Linked DNA regions of Drosophila melanogaster. The protein of the gene in region 3 interacts with the protein of the main gene of each other region in a pairwise test. Each region holds a gene or a part of one and is shown on either strand. Other genes may lie near its edges. The genes, in order: CG4853, CG7231 and ppk23.

The links.
Region 1: the proteins of ppk23 (region 3) and CG4853 interact in a two-hybrid assay, tested with the Drosophila melanogaster proteins (one large-scale study listed by BioGRID).
Region 2: the proteins of ppk23 (region 3) and CG7231 interact in a two-hybrid assay, tested with the Drosophila melanogaster proteins (one large-scale study listed by BioGRID).

The regions. Positions count from the first base shown.
Region 1 is NT_033778.4:17,507,998-17,516,373, reverse strand, and holds the start of CG4853 (uncharacterized protein), read right to left. Parts: upstream 2,158-8,376; 5' UTR 1,958-2,157; exon of another isoform or gene 1,795-1,957; 5' UTR 1,637-1,794; coding exon 845-1,636; intron 790-844; coding exon 52-789; intron 1-51. Other genes in the region: CtsK2 (cathepsin K2), read right to left, coding at 2,619-3,324, 3,390-3,598, 3,659-4,006; CG34193 (uncharacterized protein), read right to left, coding at 6,091-6,228, 6,296-6,391; nw (narrow), read right to left, coding at 8,036-8,376.
Region 2 is NT_033779.5:7,980,020-7,988,395, forward strand, and holds CG7231 (uncharacterized protein), read left to right. Parts: upstream 1-3,926; 5' UTR 3,927-4,219; intron 4,220-4,521; 5' UTR 4,522-4,748; coding exon 4,749-4,791; intron 4,792-5,255; exon of another isoform or gene 5,256-5,474; intron 5,475-5,533; coding exon 5,534-5,749; intron 5,750-5,814; coding exon 5,815-6,065; intron 6,066-6,119; coding exon 6,120-6,686; 3' UTR 6,687-6,766; downstream 6,767-8,376. Other genes in the region: pes (peste), read right to left, coding at 7,858-8,308, 8,374-8,376.
Region 3 is NC_004354.4:17,564,334-17,572,709, forward strand, and holds ppk23 (pickpocket 23), read right to left. Parts: upstream 4,896-8,376; 5' UTR 4,803-4,895; coding exon 4,426-4,802; intron 4,295-4,425; coding exon 3,995-4,294; intron 3,927-3,994; coding exon 3,845-3,926; intron 3,731-3,844; coding exon 3,234-3,730; intron 3,165-3,233; coding exon 2,954-3,164; coding exon of another isoform or gene 2,912-2,953; intron 2,894-2,911; coding exon 2,705-2,893; intron 2,637-2,704; coding exon 2,517-2,636; 3' UTR 2,427-2,516; downstream 1-2,426. Other genes in the region: Ankle2, read right to left, coding at 7,718-8,126, 8,187-8,318.

The DNA.
Region 1 (8,376 bases), on a different chromosome or scaffold from region 3:
CGAATCATATTTTTTATTTGATTAATGGTTAATTTTTTTTTTAGTACTCACCTTTAATATTTCCGTTGCAGTCAAGTAGCTTAGCTGGTTGAACCACTGCACGTAACTGTCGATTGTCACCTGGCTGATGCAATTCGAACCCAAGGTGCCCGCCTTGGTTTGGCTTATGCAGGTCTTCAGCTCATCCTTTTCGAGGATTTCCACAAACTCCTCAAGACGTATTTGTGACAGATAGGCGTACTCGATGGCATAAAGTTGGTGAGCCAACTCGAAGGCACTGCTGCAGTTGTTTAGCACATTGTCTGTTTTGTAGACATTGGCGGCAAAGCGTTTCAGCGACTTAATACTGCTCTGACGTCCCAACGAGCTGGCCGACGATTGCTTGGTAAGCAGGTTATTTAGTTGACTTCGTCCATTTTCGTCCTTTTGCGCCAAAGCTTGGGGAATTCCATCCAAAAAAGCTGCCAATCCTTTTACATTACGCTTATTTTCCAGCTCCTGCAATAGCAGTTCATGGCTAAAGTCCCCGGGACAGGTGTCTAGCCATTCGTTCAAAAGTCGTAACACGTTTTCCTCCTCATTATCAATCTTGGCAATGATTTTGGAAAGCAGCTGGTGTGGTGGTGAAAACAAGCGGGAAGTGGTCAGAAAGGCAAACCGCAAATCCTTAGTATTATTATTGATAAGCAGGTTGACCACCGAATCCAGGTTGCCCTTCTTGGGTATGTCTTTGGCGTAAACTGGCGCTGTTTGGCAATCGAATGGCTCTGTGATCTTCAAGTGGGTGTTCTAATTTAGGTAAATTATTAGTTATTTAGCGACTGGCAAATCCGTTCAAACTTACTAGGATAGAAACCGCATCCGACTCATCTGCGGAGCTGGGAATGTCGCAGTACAAAGAGTCGGTTAAGGTGTCACGTGGATGTGACCAGGGTGCACTCATCGACACGCTGTGGAAGAGGCCATCGTGCCCGGAGTCGCAGCTGCTTATATTCGAGCTTTTGTCCCCAATAGTGGTGGATGATACAGATCCGATGACCTGATCGGATCCAGTAATAGCAGAGCTGCTGGACATAAGGGAAGCATTCGAGAAGGTTTGGTTCAGCTGCCGGCCCAAAGGATCAACTGGACGCTCGTCCGAGTCTGTGGCCTGCGATGCGAACGTGGAATTCGAAGTGGTTCGGTATTTGAGGGCATTCTCGGGAGTGGCACGCGCCAAGGCCGACTGCTGCTTGACAGGATGCCAGATCTCTTTCTGGTGCGACTGATGGTTAAAGTTTTCCTTGGTCTCCACGGTGCGTTCGTCTAGGATTTGTCCGTTGCGCGAGACCAGCACCTCCTCCGTGGTGGTCAGAGAGGACTTGACGGTCAACGAGGTCTCTACCTCGATGGGCTGTTGGGCCAATCCGGCGCGGAAGAGCAATTGATTCAGGTGCTCAACCGATGGCATCTGCCCCTCCAGCAAAGCTGCCTTTATGGCACTGGCATCATCCGCCGGCAGCCCATCCAGCTTCACCGGCACTCCGTTGACCAGCAACACCTCCTCCTGCTGCAGCGAGGATGAGGTTTCGCAGTCCACGATCTTGACATCCTTGCCGAACAGGGACTCCACAGCGTTTAGGATATCTTCGTCCATGCTTGGGGCGGGGTTATCGGGGATGGGGAAAGTGCAGACACACGGGGATCTCTGGAGAAACGTGACTATTTGGCTGCGATGGTTGTTAAATGCGTTATGACCACAGGGGGACTCTTTGGATTAGTCGCAATGCACATGCACCACTATCGCGTACATTTCTGGAAAGGAAGGGGCAAGGGGAAACCTCGATTAGCACACACACAGTGGGAGAAAGACAGGTGGCCGGGGGCTTTGGTTTCGTGCGCTCTGGTGACAACGCCCACTTTCCCAAAAGTGGGCTGGTCTCTTCTGATCAGAACATCGCTTCCGGAGCAGACACACCTGCAGGAACACTGTTGCGCGGTGGCCTTCCATCGGACGCACTGCCGCCTTTCGTCACGGCATTCCCCGCCTGCTGCTCATCAAATGTCCGCCGTTTTTTCTGCGCCTAATATAGTTTAATTCGCCAATTGACTTAATTTATTTCTATTATTGTTGTCTCGGTACAGCGATACCATCGATGTTTACACAAATTTGGCAATAATCGATATCCCCAACTGGGGAAATCATCGATTACTTGCTTTCTTGCTGTAAATATCCGCATCTGGCAACGCTTTTAACAGGTTTTAAAATGTCAAGCGTTATTTCCGTTACTATCCCCAAACATTTTTTTAATTTACCCGAATATCTAGATCTTCTTGTTTGGACATAAAGGTCTGGTTATTGTTCACATCAAATTGCTGAACTCCTCTAAAGTTCGTTTAGTGCCCAATTAACCCGTGAATAGTTTTAAATTTCCAAAAGATTCTTGTTTATTCCTCTTTAATTTGTTATCTGTAAATATTTAAGCAAAGCAATGCATTGCATTACTTTCGTTTAACTACTCTAATTTAGCAGCATTATAATTAAGAAAAGACTTTTATTTAAGAAATGGACGCAACCAACGCCAAGTCCACATCACAAACTGCACAGTAAATTTTGCCATAAATTTCGGATTCCCCGCTTAAACCACGGGATAGGAGCACTCCTCAGCAATGAAGCAGTAGTTTTTGCCGCGAGGCAGGCGGAAGTAGCCCTTTTCGCCCCAGGTGTCGTCCCAGGAGTTCTTGACGATCCAGTAATCCTGTCCTTTCTCCGATCCGTAACCGACGACCAGAATGGAGTGGTTCGGCTCGCCCTTGTTGCACTCATCGTCGTTATAGATGCCACCGGCGTAGTTCTTAAGAGTCTCCAAACCATTCACCGAACAGGCAACTGGTCCCAGAGTGGCCACCACCTTCTTCAGCTGCTCCTCGTCCTTGGGCGGAATAGCGGCGAATCCCTGGAGGGTGGCTCCGGACTTGCTGCCATCGTACTTGCACGTGCCCTTGTTGTCAATGTAGGGATAGGCCCCCTCCTGGGACACACCCTTTTGCACCTCATCGATGAAACAGAATGCGGCCTCCTGGAAGCCACCATCGCAGCCATTCAGGCCAAAGTCCTCCACCGGACCACAGTCGACCAGATTCTGCTCAGAGAGATTGGGCAGGCTGCCGGTCTTGCGGAAGGTGTGTCCCTCAATGGCACCAGTGGTGGCAAAGGCCCAACAGGAGCCACAGGTACCCTGGAATTTGACTGGTGTGACACCGCCATGCTCGCGCCAATCGAAGGCATCCGGGATGGGCTTCGCAGGCAGGTTGACCAACTTCAAACTGGCAGCAGCTCGAGCCCTGGGTGCAGATATAGAATTGATAAAATCCTATGCCGGCTGTGCAAATGGTTTGTTAGCACTTACTTAGCCTCCGGACTTCTCTTCAGACCGGTCAATTGACTAAGGAACTCAGAGTGGGTCAGATCGGCGAAGGCGTTCACGGCCTGCTTGAAGGTGTGCACTCCTTGGGCAAAGGCTGCGTTTCCGGCTTCCACCAGGTTCTTGGTGGAAGCGAAGGCACCTTCATGAAGAGCGCGATCAGCGGCGGAGAGATAGGTCTTTCCAGATTGGCTCTGCAAATCGGTTGAAGTTTTACTTCTACCTTTGAAATTGATCAATGCTGCCTATCTCACCAAGAAGTCACCAAAGTCCTGGACGTTTGAGAGCAGCGGCACCTTGGGCACAGCCTTGGCAATGTTGCCCACGGCATTCTGAACGGCGCCGGCCACATTTTGTAAAGCTCCACCCACTCGATTGTTGCCCAAGCCTCCGAGTCCACCTCCAAATCCGCCTCCGAGTCCACCTCCAAATCCGCCTCCAAATCCACCGCCTCCGAATCCCTGGCCAGAGACCACAGCCACCAGAAGTGGAAGAACCAACAGAAGCTTCATACTGATCTGCCAAAAGACGAAACTATTAGTTCCGACTGGTTTTGTAGTCGAAGGGTGAAACGGCGATGCACTAATTATATTTGATTGCATATGATCGGCTTATCAGCCGATTTGCTTGTCTATTGCAAATACGAGATACTATTGCACAAATTTTTCTGATGCGAGTAATCGCAAGTAATTCCCAATAGACTAACCTAACGCGCTCGCACGGTCCACACAAATGTTTTTGTCTCGACCGTCGATCGGGGCTTATATAGCCATTAGACTAGTAGGTTTCAGGCTATAAACTGGCCAACCTCGCCCCCACCCGATCCATTCAAATCCATAAATCCCAAGTCCAGTGATTCGGAATTATACAGAAATCGAAACGCGTTGATTATACCATGCATATCGTATACGAGTATGTGCTATATCTGTTTTGATGTGTGCGATCCGACCGATCCAGCGATATTCGCCGTGTGGTTTGGGAACTCGTCTCGGTTCATTAGCGCCATGCAAGATGGTTCGGAATATGGGAGAGTATTAGAATTTAATCTATTTTGGTCCAGATTGGGTGTGTTTAATAAAGTGGATAAATCTTGATTATTTGACTTTTATGTGATAGAACGATTACGCATTTGGGCTGCTTTCTATCTGAATGCATTCGTATATTTGATCGCACGGATTCTCGTTTGCAATTAACACTTTTAATCACTTCTCAAGTCACTTTTTGATAACGTATGCTTTCAGGAAAAACCGGAACTCGACGAAAACCCGTTGTTAAATTCGTGTAAATTAGGTATTACGTGAAGTGCATGGAGTATATTTTGAAGCTTAAAAGCAAAACCCGCTTGAGTTCCGTTTCCAATTAATTATAACACCGTTGAGTGACGATCTGTATCGGTTCAAGCGATTATTAATTATGTCAATCAACCTTTGTGGACGATGGACTTGGATCCACTTTTTTGGGGCCATCCCAATTCCCGATCTTTTATAGCCTACCCAATTTGTAATAGTGTCGTGACTAATTAATGTGTTTTGTATGGATTGACATAGTCATGCATGCATATTAAACAAATATATTAATTTGCATTTTAATTTAACACGTCGGTTCCACAATTTTTTTCGGGTTTTGAAACAGTAGCTACGTTAAAATGAAATCTAAATAGCTTTGCTAGAATACTTTTGAGATGTAATAAATTCGTCGTTTGTGCCTTGGGGGATCCCCAATCAGTTTGGGAAAACAAGTTTTTTATCTAAATTAGGTGACTATGGATTAATTATGTCAACTAGGCAATGAATATTCATCAAGTTTCTGCTTATTTCTGGTAAAGGGCCAATCATAGGATTTGTTTTCAATTAAATATTGTCTGCACGTGTTTTTCTATAAGAGATTCAAATTAGGAATGATTGTTTTTTTTCTAGAAATATTTATCTTCAATATTTAGTAACTTGGGAAACTGCTCAAGCACTCATACTGCTCATTCGTCATTGATTGTAATACATACACATACATATATGGGAAACTAGTATCTTTGATAAATTCAGAAATAAATTTAAATAAAAATGGGTCTTGATTAATAGCAAAAGAACCAACAAACAGTAGCTCCATCTGAACTGCCAGAGAAACAGGTGCTATAATTCGTTGAGTATCAAACTGGTTAATAAAGAACTTAATTTAAAGTTCTTCAGCTACAATCAAACAATTTATTTGCATTGCCTTACTTGTTTTATATCTGGCACAGAAATTAATGTTTTAAATTAAATAAGTTATTAGTTAAGCATTAGTTAGTGCCATTAAGCACGCCATATATATATGTTGTAATGTTTGATTAGCGAAATTTATCAAAAACTCAATAAAATATAGCACGCGAAAAAAACTGGTTGCATTTTGTAAATTTGTAAGCAAGATTAAATTATGTTTCGTCCTTCTCCAAAGTAAATTAATGTTTTTGTACCTAATTTTTGTGAACTTCATGTTCAATTAATTCGAATGAAGGCCAAATTTAGTTATTAGAATGTAAGCTATTTTATAGCGAGTTAGTGCTATGTTTCTTAACTTATATTTCAGAAATTCCTTGACTTTTCTAATGTTTTGCTAAATATAATTCGCATCTATAAGATGTCAACGAAACAGATTGTCTTACGAACATATACTTATTAAATTTAAATAATAAATAGGTATTCCTTGGCATCTATCCACTCTTGCGATGTTTGGCTAGTCGGGGGCGCGACTCCTGGGCTTCGTGAATGGGCGTGGCCTCTGGCAGAAAGATAATGGGTTTTCGCAAATCAACCGGAGGTTGCGCCCAATTCTTCGTCATAGGGAAGCGCTGAGTGCACATATATGAAAATGCATAGAATTAACAAAACATCTTGGCTTCTCCGAGGAATACTTACCCCACTGGGTCCATTTACAGATCCATGTCCCACCTGGGGAAGGGCCACTGAAAGAGCCAAAGTGGCCAGGAAAGTTAAAGCCAGGAGTACTTTCATTGTGTGGTTAGTTGCAAAGGATATGGTTTTCAAGGCAAGCGTTTGGATTGCACTGATACTGCATACCGGCGAGATTCCCTTATATAATCGCACCAAGTCGGAACTTTCGCCAGCGCTTTCAACTTCCGCAACTTCCGGGTTTTATCTTCCAACTCAATCGCATTCGGGCTGTTTAAAAATACTCCTCTTATCGGCTGGCACTTTTGCTTTCTGGAGCCGTCGTTTACCCCAGAGATTTATCCTGATTGGGGCATTCCCGGCGAGCAGTTACTTACTGTTCTCGCTTATTCTTGAAGTAGAAAAAAAAAGAAGAAGGAAATAATGAGCCCAAGAACCTGGAGAGCCAAAGAACCATGGAACCAAGGAACCAAAGAACCTTTTTTATATTCGTTCGTTGGACCCTGCTATACATTTCAAGGTTGTCTTGGCATCTGCTGCTGCTTTTGTTGCTGCTGGCACATACCACACACATATATATATATATATATACATATATGGCCACACATATGTACACCTCGTTCTGTGTGTGCTTCTTTCATTACCAACTTTTAGCAGAGCAACAACAACGCACAACAACATCAGTCAACAGAACTTCAAACGAAGTCAGTCGTCTGCGCATGCGCAAAGTCGCAGCTCAAAATGAAGATGAAGATGAGGATGAGGACGAAGCTGGGAATGGAGACCACGAACGGAGCAGCAGGTGGGCAGGGATGGGGGTTCTTCGACAGGGGCCCCTTTTGGATCTTTTGGTTAAAAGTCGCAACTCCATCTTCATCCAATTGTTGGGCGAACGACACCGACACACATAAAACTTGATGTGATGCGTCTGCGTCTCGGAATCCTCTTTAAATTAAGAAAGATGATTTGCAGATTTGAATGCAGACGCGGACATGGGGCAGCATGATGTAAGCCCACCGAGAAATTTTTATTTATTTATTCCTCGGCGGCCGCTGGCTTTCTTGGAGCGAGTGCAATAAAATTCCATGGCACACACTTTAGTTTTTTTTCTTCAGTTTTCAGTTTTTAGAGCCTAAGCAGTTAATTTACGATTATTGGCTTTCATCTTCGTTTCGACCAAGCCAAAATAAATCCCATTGACTTGTTTATGATTTGCGCTTTGGCCATGGTCAGTTCGAGCCGTTATGAGATATTTCTGGGATATGGGGATTAAATTCTATTATTGAAGAGTTTTACGATCGATTGCACATGGGATCTCTTTGAAAGAACTTAGGTGCCTTAAAAGATCGTATTTAATCGCTACAAATATTGTCTACTCATGTTTCCAAGCAATCTGAAACATTAATCCCCTATTGTCCCTTAATAATATCCATCATCTTATTTACTTATTACGTTTATTAATCAAGAGTTTCCTTTTTTTTGTGGTGGTTGTCATACAATTAAAGCATACAATACATATATATTTATATATAGATTAATGTCTTAGCTCCTTTAATCTCTCGCTGCATTTCAGCGCGGTCATCCATTGGCATCGAGGTCCTCAGAGAGAAGCGTCATTTTCGGACATGTCCGGCCGGCTCTCGAAAATGGCCATTCCTCAGTGGAACCCGGATGCCCGGCTGGATAACACCTCGACCCAAACACACACACAACTTAGGCTAGTGGCATTCGTGGGAAAGGAGATGCCTAGTTATTGGCCGCCATTGGCTTGCCGAGGACACGCATGGCATTGGAGTAGTCCGAATCGATCTGCGGAATGATCTGCTGTTCGTTGGGCCGCAGGGTGCGTATCAGATCGTTGAGTGACAGGGAGGATTGGGGGGTCAGCTCCTCCTTGGGCTGCAGCTCCTGGGAGCTGGCCATTTTCTGGAAGTCCTGGGCGATCTGCTTGATGCGCTCCTCGATGGCGGCGGCTGGGGATTCAGTGGAGCTGGGCATCGCCAATGGTTCGTTGGCCTTGATAAGATCCACCGGCGTCTCATTTTCCAAGTCAGTCTCGCCCTCAGCTCCATCCTGCTCGTGCTCTC
Region 2 (8,376 bases), on a different chromosome or scaffold from region 3:
TTTTACAACGATCGATCTGGCAAAGGGATTTCATCAAATAGAAATGGACGAAGAATCAATTTCTAAAACTGCATTCTCCACAAAAAGCGGTCATTACGAATACCTTCGAATGCCATTTGGCCTTAGGAATGCACCCGCTACTTTTCAAAGGTGCATGAATAATATCCTTCGACCGTTGCTTAACAAACACTGTTTGGTGTATCTGGATGATATTATAATTTTTTCAACATCCCTTACAGAACATTTAAATTCAATACAATTAGTTTTTACAAAGCTTGCAGATGCAAATTTAAAATTGCAACTAGACAAATGTGAGTTCTTAAAAAAGGAAGCTAACTTTCTTGGTCACATAGTTACCCCTGATGGTATTAAACCAAATCCTATTAAAGTTAAAGCCATAGTTTCATACCCAATTCCGACAAAAGTAAAAGAGATAAGAGCTTTCCTTGGATTAACAGGTTATTATCGCAAATTTATTCCAAATTACGCAGACATAGCAAAACCCATGACCAGCTGCTTAAAAAAAGGAGCAAAGATAGATACACAAAAACTTGAGTACATAGAGGCATTCGAAAAACTTAAGGCTTTGATAATTCGTGACCCAATTTTACAATTACCTGATTTTGAAAAGAAATTTGTTTTAACCACAGATGCAAGTAACTTGGCCCTCGGGGCTGTCCTTTCTCAAAACGGTCATCCTATATCTTTTATTAGTAGAACACTTAACGATCACGAATTAAATTACAGTGCTATCGAAAAAGAATTACTTGCCATAGTTTGGGCCACAAAAACTTTTCGACATTATTTACTAGGACGACAATTTCTCATTGCCAGTGACCATCAACCTCTTAGATGGCTTCATAACTTAAAGGAACCGAATGCTAAGTTAGAAAGATGGAGAGTTAGATTAAGCGAATACCAATTTAAAATAGATTATATTAAAGGGAAAGAAAATTCAGTTGCCGATGCATTATCAAGAATTAAAATTGAAGAAAATCATCATAGTGAAGCTACTCAACATAGTGCAGAAGAGGACAATAGCAACCTTATTCATTTAACAGAAAAACCAATAAATTATTTCAAAAAACAAATAATCTTTATTAAATCCGATAAAAATAAAGTAGAGCATTCAAAAATATTCGGTAACTCCATTACCACAATTCAATATGATGTAATGACACTTGAAAAGGCCAAACAAATTTTACTCGATCACTTTATCCATAGAAACATTACCATTTATATTGAGAGCGATGTAGATTTTGAAATTATTCAAAGAGCACACATAGAAATTGTTAATACCACCTACACAAAAGTAATTCGCAGTCTTTTCCTATTAAAGAACGTTGGTTCATACGCCGAATTCAAAGAAATCATACTTCAATCACATGAAAAACTTTTACACCCTGGTATACAGAAAATGACAAAATTATTTAAAGAAAATCACTTCTTTCCAAATAGCCAACTATTAATTCAGAATATAATAAACGAATGCAACATATGCAATTTGGCCAAAACAGAACATAGAAACACCAAAATGCCTTTAAAAATCACACCCAACCCGGAACATTGCCGAGAAAAATTTGTAGTAGATATTTATTCATCTGAGGGAAAACATTACATCAGTTGCATTGATATTTATTCTAAATTCGCTACACTTGAGCAAATTAAAACTAAGGATTGGATAGAATGCAGAAACGCATTAATGCGCATTTTTAATCAACTAGGTAAACCCAAATTATTAAAGGCAGACAGAGACGGAGCTTTCTCCAGTTTAGCTTTAAAGCGATGGCTTGAAGAAGAAGAAGTCGAATTACAGCTCAATACAGCAAAAAACGGGGTAGCAGACGTCGAAAGATTACACAAAACAATAAATGAAAAAATTCGTATAATCAATTCATCTGATGATGAAGAAGTAAAATTAAGCAAGATAGAAACAATCCTCTACACATACAACCATAAAATTAAACATGACACTACTGGACAGACACCTGCTCAAATTTTCTTATACGCTGGGCATCCCATATTAGACACTCAAAAAATTAAAGAGAAGAAAATAGACAAAATAAATGAAGACAGACAGGAATTTAATATTGACACTAATTACAGAAAAGGTCCACTACAGAAAGGCAAATTAGAAAACCCATTTAAACCAACCAAAAATGTAGAACAGACAGACCCTGACCATTACAAAATCACTAATAGAAATAGAGTTACGCACTACTACAAAACACAATTCAAAAAACAAAAGAAAAATAATAAACTCTCAATTTCACAGGCACCTGGTACCCGATAACACTATTGTTTATACTGATCACAGCTGTTCATGGACAACAAATTCAAATTAATAATATTGACACCAACCACGGATACCTCCTTTTTTCTGATAAGCCAGTACAGATACCATCCTCCTTTGAACATCACTCCTTAAAAATCAATTTAACTGAAATAGACATCGTGGTTGACTATTTTGAGCAAAGACTACGAACCGATTACCATGCACCCCAGATCAATTTTTTATACAATAAAATAAAAAGAGAACTAGCCGGAATAACCCTGAAACATAGAAACAAACGGGGTCTTATTAACATTGTGGGTTCAGGTTTTAAATACCTATTTGGAACACTAGATGAAAATGATCGAGTCGAAATACAGAAAAAACTTGAAATCAACGTCCATAACTCAGTAAAATTACATGAACTCAACGACGCCATACGATTGATAAATGACGGAATACATAGAAGATTTGGAAATGGCTATGCAGCTTTCCAGACTTGGACTGTTTAACCCCAAATTACTAAACTACGACAAACTTGAAAATGTGAACAGCCAAAACATTTTGAACATTAAAACATCCACTTGGATTAACTACAATGATAACCAAGTATTAATCATATCCCACATACCCATTTACCTTTCACTAATAAGCACAATTAAAATAATTCCTTACCCAGACTCCAACGGCTATCAGCTAGATTACACAGACACACAATCATATTTTGAAAAAGAAAATAAAGTTTATAATACCGAAAATAAAGAAGTAAAAAATGAATGTGTCACCAATATTATTAAACACTTAAATCCAATTTGTAATTTTAAGCCAGTACACACGAACGAAATAATAAAATACATAGAACCAAACACAATTGTAACCTGGAACTTAACCCAAACAATTCTTAACCAAAATTGCCAAAATTCAATTAATAAAATAAAAATAGAAGGAAACAAAATGATAAGAGTAACGCAATGCAAAATAGAAATCAATAATATAATTTTAAGTGAAAATCTGTTAGAACCAGAAATAGATTTGACATCACTATACACACCACTTAATATAACAAAAATAAAAATTGTAAAACACAACGACATTGTTGAGATGATTTCAGAGAACAATATTACACTTTACATACAAATGATCATTGTAATAATCGCACTAATTTTGTTGTACTCATATTTAAGATATGTATCATTTAAACCATTTATGATGCTGTATGCAAAACTTAAAATAAGAAAAAATCAAAATCAAAACACACCACAACAAACAGAAATAGAAGAAACTCCATTTCCCACACTATATCCATCAATCCCAGCCCAAGTATAGGCTTCTCTTTAAGGGAAGGGGAGTGACGTATTTGGGTGGTCCAAACCAGCCACTTCCATTATTTCAAAGAAATCAGTAATGCACTCTAGTAATTTTCCATAACGTATCCCAGCTGCGCAGCATTCGTTTATCTTTGGCAGCGCAGCCGTTCTTGTAAACATCCTAAAGCCTGACCTAAGCAGATTTGACTGCCCTCTTTCAACGCTACCTAATCTTAAGAACCCAAGAGCGAGGCTCTCCCGAAATACAAATATTGTTCAAATACTGAGGCTTCTCCTCAATCCAATTTGCATTTGATTTTTAGTCTTAAGCTGAGATCCAAAGAATAAAGTCGTGAAACTATTTCTCCTAAAACTATTTTTTATTTCTTGGCGTTGTCCTTAGTCAACTGACGGGACATTAGTTCGACTCATAAATAAAACAACAATTTTACTATATATTTTCAATTTTTTTTTTCGCAAGCGTCGCACGTGCGAGCTTTTCCCCCGATATTTATATTCGCCACTCACACACACGCGCACCGAGAGCGACACGTCCGAACGGTTCCAGAGCCGTTAAATTTTCGAACTAAAACTGAGTGTCGGGGGTGTAGTGTGGCCAGTTCTTCTAGCGCTCGTTTCGGTAAAGTTTGTGCTCTCGCTTATTGGCCGCATTTCTTGTGTACCGCCGCATGGTCACTCTAGTGCCGCTCTTTGAACCGCTCTCTTACGTTTTCTCTTCTATTACTGCTGCTCATTTAACAGAAATGTTAAAATGCAACGCTTTTCTAACAGAGACCGCGGTCTAAACTTATTTAAATAACATTTTATCTTTTAATAAGCAAATAAATGTAAATCGTACTTAATGAAATATATGATTTTACAAGATGTGTGGTAATAATTTCCATAAAAACGTTTGTTTGTTCTTTCTTCTTTATAATGTAGTAACTAGTTTAACTAGTCCGCGAGTTCATCGGATAACGTGACCACTTAAAAGATTAGATTTTGGGATATGCGGATAGATTGTCACTACCAATTTACAATACTTAATCAATGTTTAATTAAATCAGCAAATGCTATCGATAAGCCAAACTGAAAAATTGCCATTTAGTTCGTTTCTAACCGTGGCGGTCCCAAGTTCATGATCAAGTGCCCTTAGACCTATAGAAAAAATGGACTCAAAAATTACCTTTCTACTTACAACGCTACTATTTGGTAATTCGTATTTTTGCACTTTTCAAAATCATTACATATCATCATTTTTTAATGTTTTTAACTCATGTACATACGACCCCTGGGTCGCTTGGAAACATTAGGATCCAGACAGTTTAGTTTTGACATAACTTAAAAAAACTAACAGGTATCTGATAGTCGATGCTCCTGTACTCAATTAAAACATTTAAATCTGACGAGTGTGTTGGGTAACATTACTTGATAATACATTTACACAATCGCAAAAAGGGGGTAAAACGTAAAATAGCAACATTTTGTTATTTTTTGTCAATAAGTTGTCATGTAAACTCTTAGAGCTAGGGTATATGAGCGTCGGTCTCTTGAAGTTAAGCACATTTCTCGCCATTCTCACTTCACGTCTGCTCTCTACGCTTGCGCCATTGCACAGCTGACAGATTGAAGAGAATTATTGATGTGCAGTTGCATTGCAGCATTCGGTGAAAGCGGAAGAAGGGCACAACGCGCTTTGCATTCCATAAAAATCGCATAACAAAGGGAGTTAATTAGAGTCCATTCGCGCACACATACATATGTACACGCTCATTGCGAAGTAAACAAATTCACATTGGATTGGATTGCATGTGTTTGCGTATCAATTCTCGCTGGTAGGGTGGTAAGGAAGGCAAATGGGCTTATCTACGCGTATCTGCCATATTATGCCCTCTGTGCGTCCCATTGTCCAATTGTGGAATATTAATGCCGTCTATTTCACGTCCACTCGCAGTGCTCGTGGCCAAAATCAATGGGTCTGCTCTGAACGCCAGCAATTATCAGTACCAAGTGGTGGTCGAGCAGACAGCGCCAGACGATTCCCAGATCGAATATATATTCCTCAAACAGTCGGATATGATGAAGGTATGGGGCACAAATCTCACTGCCATTACCTGGGCCCATGCCGTCAACAGCCAGCAATTGCTGGACGAGGTCCTAACCGAAACCAGTAAGATCATTGGCCAAATATGCGCGTGTAACCAACTTATCAATAGTATCATTTCCCTGCCCAAGGTGGCATTGACTTCATCGAAGCGGACATTGTGCTGGGCAAACTGAATGGCGATGGCGAGGACATGCCCATAATGGCCCATCCGCCGGCCAATGTCTCTGATCTTACGCTGTCGGAATTTCTCAACCAGATCATTAATTTCAACCGTGATCATGAGGACCAAAAAAAGGGCGTTAAGCTCGACTTCAAGTCGATCGAGGTATTCGAGGGTTCCCTGGACATTCTGGACGTGAATATTCCGAACGTAAGTTTGGTCATCGAATCTCAGATATCAGAACAAATTAAACAATATCTCTGTGTTGTGCAGCCTACCACGTATCCTGTGTGGATAAACGCCGATATTCTAAGTGGTCCCGTGGAACAGAATAGAACCGTACCCGTTGATGCGGACCGATTCTTCGCCGGCTGTATGCGCTACAAACAGGCAGTGCTCTCCATTGGCTGGACAACTAACTGGGGAGCCGACTTCCGGGATGGCGAGTACACGCAGCAGCAGTGTGATGACATGCTGGAAACGCTGAGCGAGAACAATGTCCTATCCACTGGCCAGGCCATAACCTTTCCCGTGCGCGCTGGCATTGCCGCCAACAGCGAGGAGCAACTGCATCGACTGGTGGCCGCGGTGAACGAGACAAACGAGAGCACCCTGACCATCTGGTCGTCTGCCGGTGACTATGTGGATGTGGATAAGTTGCGCAAACTGATCTTCAGCTTCGGCTTGGATAGAGTCTATCTGGATGTGCCGGAGGAGCTGGCCTCACAATTGAACCTGGACAATCCCGGCAACGGAGCCAGCACCTTCAAATCCCTGTTTGGCTTCAGTTTCATGAGCCTTTGTTTTTGGGCTCTGTCCAGCTGGATGCAGCGGTTATAATATACGTAATTAATATAAGTACGGTAATCAGAGCAATTTTTATACAACTTCCAGAAAACATAATTAAAACTTATACTTTTATGTGTTGACAGTTTTATTTTCGTTTAGGTGGAATTGTTGGAAATCGCCTTGGATGACGAGTCATCTTATATAAAAAAGATGAATTTTAAAACACATTTAATTATTCAAGTGTATTGTGTGGATTTAAAGAAACTTATTTAAGGGAATATGTTTCTCAAGGCAAAGACAAATGTAAAGTTTAATAGTAACAAATGTATAAATTGATTGGATTTCGAATTTAAAATTTATATGAAGATATGTTTGGATATTTTTTTTTCAGGGTCTCCATACGTAGTTTTAGTAACTACTGCCATTTTCAGAAAGTCCCTCTTTGATCACTTGATTTTAATAATTTTTTCTATTCATTTATCTTAAGGAATTTTTGGAAATATTTCCGGGGTTCACAGCTGTGCTTTATAATCTAGGTATTTAGATCTTACACTGATCGACATTTGTACATAGGATATGCGTAATCTTTGCAGTGCTAGCGTTATTTGTACAAGACTTAAAACAACAACTATAATTTTTAGTTTTTCGGCCTACCTATGTAAATGAGCAACAATTCTCGCTACCTATGTTCTCTGTTCAATATTATTTCTATATAACTTCAGATCAATCTGCATTAAAATCTTAAATATCGCTCTACAAATGTTATGCATTATTATATAAATATAAATACTTTGGGCATGCGCAGTTTAAACTTCAAGAATTAAGGAAAATGAGTAATGGGGCGCTCTAAGCGAGTCGCTCTATATACAATTTAGTTTATCCTACTAAAATAGTTAATGACTTTTTGCTTGCGTTTTCTGCTGTTATTTGGCACTAAAATAAATAATCTTATAAATCTCTCTCGCTGTCCGCAAAGCGTGCAGATGTGTTGAGGGAACTCCTAATGCGATTGGGGCATGCGTGGTAGGTAATGTGGTGGTATGTGACGTGAATTGGAACGACATCCTCGATGAGCAACTTGGTCCAGCCTCTTAGAGCCTGGCTAAGGCAGAATGGTTTCATCACGTTGTTCTAAGCTATTCTAAGCTACGGCGACGTAAATGAGTCTCAGGCAGATGATCGTTGGCGGCACCGTCAGAATGGCTTGATGCCAACGCATGTATTATCTAACTACAACATCGGGCGAGTCCTCGCTGATCAGACGCTCCCTGTGCGAGCTTTCCATGGTACCACTCTCCAGTCTTATGCCAGAATCGCGATTATAATCCAGTAGGCGCACTCCCACACGCTCGTTGCCCGATGAACTAATGTTGTTCCGGAATAGTTGGGCCACCGGCGCTGTGGCTGCCGACGAATTTACACCAAAGGCGTTCAGTGGTCGCAGGACACTGGCCTTCGCCTTTGGATCGCTGTGACAAAAGTGCGTCACTTGTCGCGTCGGGTACCAGCAGGTGCATATAAGACCGCCCGCCAAAAGGATGCCGGTTACTATCTGCCCCAGCAGGACAATTAGCGGAACAAGCGCAATGTCTGCGGCAATTTCCTCTGATACGCGTACGCGCTCCTCGCACCACATCATGGGTATCATGACCGTCGGGACATTCTCATACAAGCTGAAAGAAAATGAAAATATTAGTTTATGTAAGGAAAAGGCTTATGTAAAGGTCAAGTTACTTACGTA
Region 3 (8,376 bases):
GGTGGTGTTGTGGAATATAATTGTACGTAGTAAAAAAGAAAATTTACGAATTGTAAAGTTAATTAAATATCAAGCATACGTAAAGAAAACTTCTGCTTAATGATCACGATCATACATTTTAATGATTTTAATGATTAGGTACATTTTCAAAAGTCGTTACTTATATTACGTATACGTCCTGTGTATCTTCAGCTTAATTTTTAGTGCCAAGGCCTAAAAGGTTTTCCTGCTGAAACTTAAGTGAATCGCCGTTGATAAAACTGCCCACACCTTTCTCGTAATTGTTTAATTCGTTTTTTATTTTTACAAACTGGCAATGGCCATCAACTGAATCAAAGCCATTTCATTAGTTTTAGCACTTTTATGGGCCATTTTAGAAATGCAAATCGAAAATCAAGTGCACAAGAGCTCACAAACGGAATGCGGAAGAGAGTTTGTGAGTGTTTGTTTGTTTGTTTTCTCCCCTTTTTGCACCATTTTCGGAAACGGAAAAGTGGGAGGGAGAGCAAAAGATTTGGAAATTTGTTTTCCCTTTTTTTTGGGAGCATGCAAACAGCGCTTTCAACTCCCTTATTCCAATTAACTTTGCTAAATTTATTTATGCATGCCATTGCACTGGCATAAACATTATAGAACAATATATATTTAATAAATATAAACTTATCATTAAACTGAATTTTTGTGGTTACATTTTCTAAAAGATTATTAAGATCATTAAATTGTTAAAACAAAAAAAAAACTTTAAAATTCTGCAGATAAAATGTGTTGATTCTATTTCAAAATCTGCATTAAACAATTTGTATTTAAATGTAAAGTTAATCATAGAATAATAAAAATATTTAATATTTTTTTCTGTGTATCCATGCATGTGAGATTAGTTATTTGTGGGCGTATGTTTATTGTCAACAAGTCCGTTAACAGGCACTGAGTGTTTTTTTTTTTTATTTTCTTTGCCTTAGTTGTGCCTACTTCTTTTTTATTTTCGTTGATTGTTCGCTATTTTTATTTATTTGTTCCCTTTAATTTAGTGTTGGTTTTTAATCCTTGGCGGCGGGGTCATAAAGCGATCGTTGCATCTTAATCCTAGTCATGGAAACGCCTCTTTTTTGCCAGTAAGGGAAAAGTACAAACTATGCGGCGGTTTCATTCACAGAAATATGCAAATGGTGGGGGGAAATCGCGCAAATTGAATGCGAGACTGGAAAAATACACATCCAACCCCCGGAAAAACGGAAAAGCAGACTCCGTTGCGTACTACGCGGCTTACAACTGCAATTACAACTACGACCACCACCACGCTCCACCTGTTGGCCGCTTTGGGAGTCCGCATAGCCTTCTCTCTCGCACACTCCCTTCCTCTCTCTTTTTGTCGCACGTCAGTGCTGTAAGTGTAGCTGTTTGCAAAATGCAATTTTGCCGCAATTCGTAACTATTTTAAAATTAAATATGTTGATTTTTAAGTGGTATCGGAAACAACAGATTTTCGGTTTTTTCAAAACATTACATTAATGAAAAAGCACTATAAACTAAATAAATGAATTAAAATTTTAACGTTAAGCCGACCGCTTAAAATCGAACAACACAGATTTACATATATAGTAGTGCACATTTTACCGACTTATTGCATATTCAACATTATTTGTCCATATAATTTAACAAACAAAATTGGCTTATTAAACCGGAAGCAATTAGAACACAATCCTAGCCATTTTAAGGGCTAATAGCGGGCAGCACTGGGGGGAATTAACAATGAGCCAGCAACGATGTTAACTGAAAAATGCTTTTCGCCTTTGCTGAGCTGCGACTGAATGCCGGGGATTTGGTAGTGGGTTTGAGTTTCGGGCTGGGAGCCACAGATGCAGTTGGATCTAAAGATGGGAGTTTTGCGGACGGGTCGGCGGTTAGTTTACCACCGCCCACCCGGCCATCTACCTGCTCCCCCAACCCATCGCTTTGTCAACCACCATGGTGCAGTGAACCCGCCGCGCCGCTAAGTATGCAACACAGAACTGAAGTTTAATTGGGAGCAAAACCCATCGAAACATTCCAGCGGCAGACGAAGGTATTTTACTAGCGGATATTTCTTTATTGCTGGTGCATATCTGCGTGATACAATATATCTTTATTAAAAAAAGAGAGAAGTTTGCTACATGATAAGAGTATTTGCTCTCGCAACAGCTGGTGCGCAATAATATTCATTGATGGTTAAGTATTTGTTGGTAGCTTACATTGAGTACAGCTGTGCTTGAAATAATTGTATTAAATTATTCAATTATTATTTGAAACCCTTTAAGCAATATATCAAAAGGCCAAATTGAAATATGTAGAAACACAGATATTTGAAGCACATAAAAATGTTAAATACATTTTTTTTTAAATTTTTTTGGTTATTGTTTTGTTTTGTTAATTCCATTACATTTCTCGTTCAAGGACTGGCAATTGGCATAACTTAAACATAAGCCACTACATAACTTTTTTTTTTAAATATTTTGTTACTTTTTGTTACTATTTAAGCTTCAGGGCATGTACTGAGAATGATCATAAGTTGTCCAGGAATTTTTCGTTTTGCTTGTATATCCATAGTCGGGTACAACTTTGGGTGTTTTATAATAGTTCTTTGTGTTGAGGGAGTAGTCCTGAAAAAGCGTTTTTGTGAAAGTGCAATCAATGATGCTAGTTTTTTAGAGACTTTTTAGAGACTAACCTTTTCGTGTTTTCTTTGATAACCACCCAAAGGATTTGGTCCTGCGGACTCCTCCGCCGGTTTCACTTTCAGCACCGCCGAAGTGGGCGTGTCTCCGATCCTTGGATTGTGGGATTTTAAACTCAGTTTCAGATCTATTTTGGGTGGCGGCTCCTGACGGATTTTCTCCTCGATTTCGTAAAGCTCTTGCTGAAATTTATTCACATTTTAGATGGAAGTTGATTGGAATATTCTATTGGCATAATTTACGCGATTTTTATAGACCATGCAGCAGGCTCGCAGCGTAAAATAATATATAATCTCCACACCCGAAAGCAGTGAAAATCCAAGAAAAAGGCTGGCAATTCCGCCAAAGGACACCAACAGATCAACCCAGCCGAAAAGGACCTCACGCTTATAGCGAATAATCGGCCAGGTGAGAAACTCGACCAGCACACCTAAGCTCTCCGGTCGATCCGACCTGAAATTACATCATACATCATTACATCCTCTGGTTACATCATAGATACACCTATTTGGAAAAACTAACATTTTGATCAGCTTATCGATGTTGAAAACGGTTTTCGAGCAACTGAGCTCGCATTGCAGGCAATCCTTGATGTTCGTAATGTTGCTCTTAAACTCATCGAGGCAATCGAAGTCCTTGATCGAGCACATAGGCACATTAGCTTTCGGCGTTAAATATAATAATAATATGTATGCAATAAGGTTTGTAAATATGTTAATTACACATGACAACTCACGTATGGGTTTATAAAAGGGCGGATTGCACTTGCACAACTTGATGGCCTTGTTCATGCGACACTGCTTCATGCAGGAGGAGAATGTGTAGGCGTCTGGAAAATAATTGAGCTTCACCTCGTCACTGAAGATGCATTTCCTCTGGCCAATGGACAGCTGGCGAGCATCGTCCGTGGTGTAGGTGTTCTTCTTGGATATCCTCACCTCCACCAACTGGGGTTCCGACCAATCGATCTGAGCATTGAAATCCGAACCGAAGTACTCCTCGTTGGAAAAGATAAAGATCTGAAGATGTGTTATTCAAATTCATTATTATGCGAAATATACTTGTATAGGAACTTTTATATTGGGATAACTACTATACTAGTATATAGTAGTATATGGTTATGAACAACTTACACGTGAAGTGCTGTTGGGTATGAAAAAGAGCGCCCACTTCTTGTCGGTTTCGTAGAGGTCATGAGGTGCTCCGGTCTTAACGCTACACAACAAAGTACATATACTTAATAAAACGCAGATCAAATTGGATTCCGATTCCGCGAAACTTACTCTTCAGTGGGCGTGGACTTGAAACGACTGTTGAAGGCGTAGCAAAAGCCGTGCTCCGTGTAAATTGGTTCGAAGTGGTCGCAACAGGGTATGTCCTCGTCGCGATACTTGCAGGACACGAAGACGTTCTTGCAGTCGATGTGACCCTCGAAAGCCCACTCCCGGATGGTGTGCGCATCTAGCAGGTTTTGCGGAATCGACTGCGACAGCACCTTGGCGTCCCGAACGTTCTCGAAGTTCAGGGAGGTCAAAATCCGCAGAAACGGGGTATACATTTGGGCCTGGGCCTCATCGTAGTTACTGTAATCACAAAATGTCATACACTTAATGTAAATCAACATATGTATGTACATAAAAGTAGTTGCATTATTGCGTAATGTTTAAAGAAATAGTTTCAATCTATAAGATATTTATGATATCTCCGTACTCACGCCAGTGTATTGTAAACCTTCTCGTAGGTCTTGTCGTGGTCAAACGCCGCCTCCGGACAGACGACGGTGGTGGGGAAGACCACGTTCTGGTTGTGGAAGTCGGTGTCGAGGCCAGTGATTGTCGGATTGGTCTGGAACTTCTCCCAGAGGCTCATAATGATGACCAGCGCGGTGACCGCTCCTATGGATGTGAAGCAGAACCACATGAACTTCTCGCCGATAGGTCGGCCCGATTCGGCAATATATCGCACTCCGTGGAGCGTCGAGTTCTGGAAGAACTCCTTCGTCTGGTAGATGAGGCTGCGCCGAAAGATGACCAAAGTCTCGAGGAAGCGCTGCGTCCTGGACTCCGGCGGATGGCGTTTCTCTTGCGGCATTTCCGTTTCAGGAACATTGCTCGCCGACGCGGCTTGGTAGTGAACTCAAAACTGATGCCCTAGCATCGGATCCAAAGTCAACATTACGACTGAACCCAGGGAAATACATCGAATGCCAAATCGATGCGTGTATCATTAGTCCACCTGCGTGTGGTTCCATTTGCAGGTCCTAAAAGCCTTTCATTGTTCACGTAATGCCGTTTGCATGCGTCTGATTGTTTTTTTGGATTGTGGTAGTTACCAGGGACTATCTAGATCTTTGTACCCTAAAACAATAATAGGTGAATATTAATGAAAGGTTTTTTAATTACAAAATATTGTAAAAATCAAGATACAAATTCTAAGTCATAGAAAATGTAAAATGATAATATAAGCTAATGAAACCCTTTTCATTTAAAATACAATTAATATTTAAACTATCTTTAATTCAAATAAGCTCTTAGAATAAAATATAAGCAAAGAAAATAGTTTTATATCAGATCAGCGTATTTTTAAATGCATTTCAGTAATGAGTCCACCAACTTTTCGTACCGACATCGACTAGATTGGGGTCAGTGATATGGCTAAAGTCCTGCGCAATTGTGGGTTAGTCCAGTTACCGAATGCAGCTGCCTTGGATGGATTGATGACTGGCTGGTTGGATGGCTTGAAGGCTTGATGGATTGCTGGCTGCATAAATGGCTGGCTAATTGGTCGGGGCTGTCTGAACAGCTTCCGGCGCCGCCTTGCATTCCGCAAAAAAAAATCACATATTCCTTTATAGGGATAGGGCTGTGCTGGCCACTCCACCGAAAGCCACTTCACTCCAAGGATCGGAGGAACTTCACAAGTTTTGTGTGAAATTCTGACACGGCCCGGACTCTCTTTGTTCGCTCTTTCGCCTCTCTTTTCCCTTTTTTATTCATATGATTTGTTTATTTTTATTATTATTTTTTTTTTTTTGTTTGCAATCGTTAAGTGTTCTCAAGTTTCACAAAGCGTCGAGGAATGGGTTTTGGATTTTTCGGGACTCTGGGTTTTGGGTTATGGCTGCTGGAGCTGGGGCAAACAAAAGAACTGCTGGAATGAGTTGACCCTGATGGCGGTGGTCAGATAATCGGAGCCACTGGCGCCAGTCGGTTGGAGGGAGGCCCTTTTACTCCGCTCCCCTTCAGTAACCGTGCGTCGTCTGGGCATTGCATATATTATATTATTATATAGCTGTAGGTTAAGGAACCACCATGTCTTTCTTACTCGATGTTTTTCTCATAATTAGATTAAACAAATAAAATGGGAACTTAATTTAGTTAGGCAACATATATACATTACATAATAATATTCTTTTGAAAAAACAAACCTTTCAAGACGATAAGAAAGCAGTATAACGTGTCATTTCAGCATTTCTGTAAATAAATATCTAAAAGCTAATAGCTTATATTATCCAACCCTAAAATATATGAAGAAATATCTAACTTCGTTATAGATTCATAACACCATAACTAGATTCCAAAACCAAAACGGAGATCGAATGCATAATGGATAAAAAATACTCCTTACTGGCATTGCGACCCACTTATGGCCAAAAAAACCCCCGCCCTCGCCCCCAATCCTTTCCCACGCTCCACCAGATCCCGCCTTATAGCCTCTCAATTTGTTTCGCTTTTAGTATTCTCCCTCGGTTCGGCTTCTTATCAGCGATCATTTGTCAAAGCCCTGCCATTGAAAAGTGGCCCGACCACTGAGCGAAACGGCAATTGCAACAAATTTGTTCGCTGCCCCAACCATCTACCCCAGCCACATGCCGCTTGCCCCACGTACCTGCCCCACCTGCCTCTGCTCCAGTTGACAAAAGAAGAGGAGCAGAAACCAAAAGACACCAACGAAGAAGCACTTCGATGGGCACGTGGCGAACCGATGATACCCTATGGTATCAGTCTCTAAAAATAATGAGCATGTTAAAAAAAGTAACAGTAAAGCAACTGATATTAGTTTAAATGTACCGTATTTACTGCATACCTCAAATTTGTAGAAGCTTACAGAGCGATGAGTATCTGAGCGTCGACTATCGCATACCTTCTGTTTTTGGCCTTCGTATATTATCCTTATGCTGAGAAAATGGTAAATTTCATGGGTCATGGGTATGTACCGCAATCATCTTACACCTGTTGTCAGTGCGTCCCCCAACAAAAGTCGAGCATACCCATTCTGATGTAGCGCTGCCACCATCAAGAGCACTCTCATAAATAAGAAATTGAGAGTAAACGAGACCTGGCCGGGATCGGGATCGTCGAGGGGATCCCCTGAGCTGGGGCAGAATCTATGGGTATACGTATACTGACTTCGATAAACATTTTTTGCTTTCCTTTCCCTTCCGTTGAATTCGTTGCATTTTATTTTTTTTTTTCCCGAGCCGAGCGGTTTCAGTTTCTCGTTTTGCATTGCATCGAACACCAAGATCGATCGGTGGCGAAGAATGCTCTTTTCAGTCGCGATCTTACCCAGCGTCCAGGTGTCCATTCCACTGTCCGTCCGTTTGTGTGATTAATGGTAATTGCTTTTATGGCTTTCTACGGCGCTCTTCTGCCACAATTTGTTGCGGTAATTTCGCTTTTAGTCGCAGTCCCCAAACTGATAGCCCCACCACACCAAAATGAATTGGGAAATTACATATTTAGAAAAGCACTTGATTCAATTTGCTGCGAACTATACAACTAATGAATTCCTTATCTGTTGCAAAGTACTTGGTAGCAAAGATTTCGTTTTTTATTTCACTTTTCACGATTTTTGTATTCATAATGTATAAAAAAAAATAATATACATGCGATTAACATTAAAAGGGACAATGGACGACACCGGCTATTCAGGGGGGTAAGTATGCAGTCGGCCTTTCATCAATCAGTCGCTGTTTCTGTTTCTGTTTCCGGGCCGATTCCGTTTCAGTTCCGATTGCCCAGCGGCGTGTCCCCCTCGTTATAGGACCGTTGATCCCGATATTGGCTGAACAAGCCGCGCACCTTGTTCAATGGTGTTTGGAATGACTGCGTCGCTGCCGTCAAGGCGGCAAAACTCAAAATCGGCGATGCCGGAGTCACAGCAGTTCCGACCGACTCGCCATTCGTCTCGGATGCAACTTGAATACTGGCGGCGGACGGAGTTCGCGCCAGACGCGGTGTAACTGGCGCCGTCAATGGTCCGGATCCGCGTCTGCCGCTGACCACGGCATTCAGCTTTGGCGTGGCAAGCAGACGCTTGGGATGCAACAATGGTTGGCTGTTGTGGCTAGAACTGGTTCCAGAATACCAAGGCTCCGGCTTTTGAACCTTGACGTTCCTTGGGGATGGGAAGCTTTAATATAAGTGAGCAAAAGTCATTACAAAAACCCTATCATGATGATAATAAACATACAGATTCATTTCAGCACAGGAGTAGCTCTCCATGGCAGTCTTCCAGGCGTAGACATGCGGCAGTGTTTCCTTATCAATGTCGACATTGGAAAGGGCATTCAGCACATCCAAATCTCGCTTGGTTGGCTCGTTTCTAGAATGTTAAAAAATGTAGTCTATAAAGAAACATTCTAAACTATGATTAATCTCAC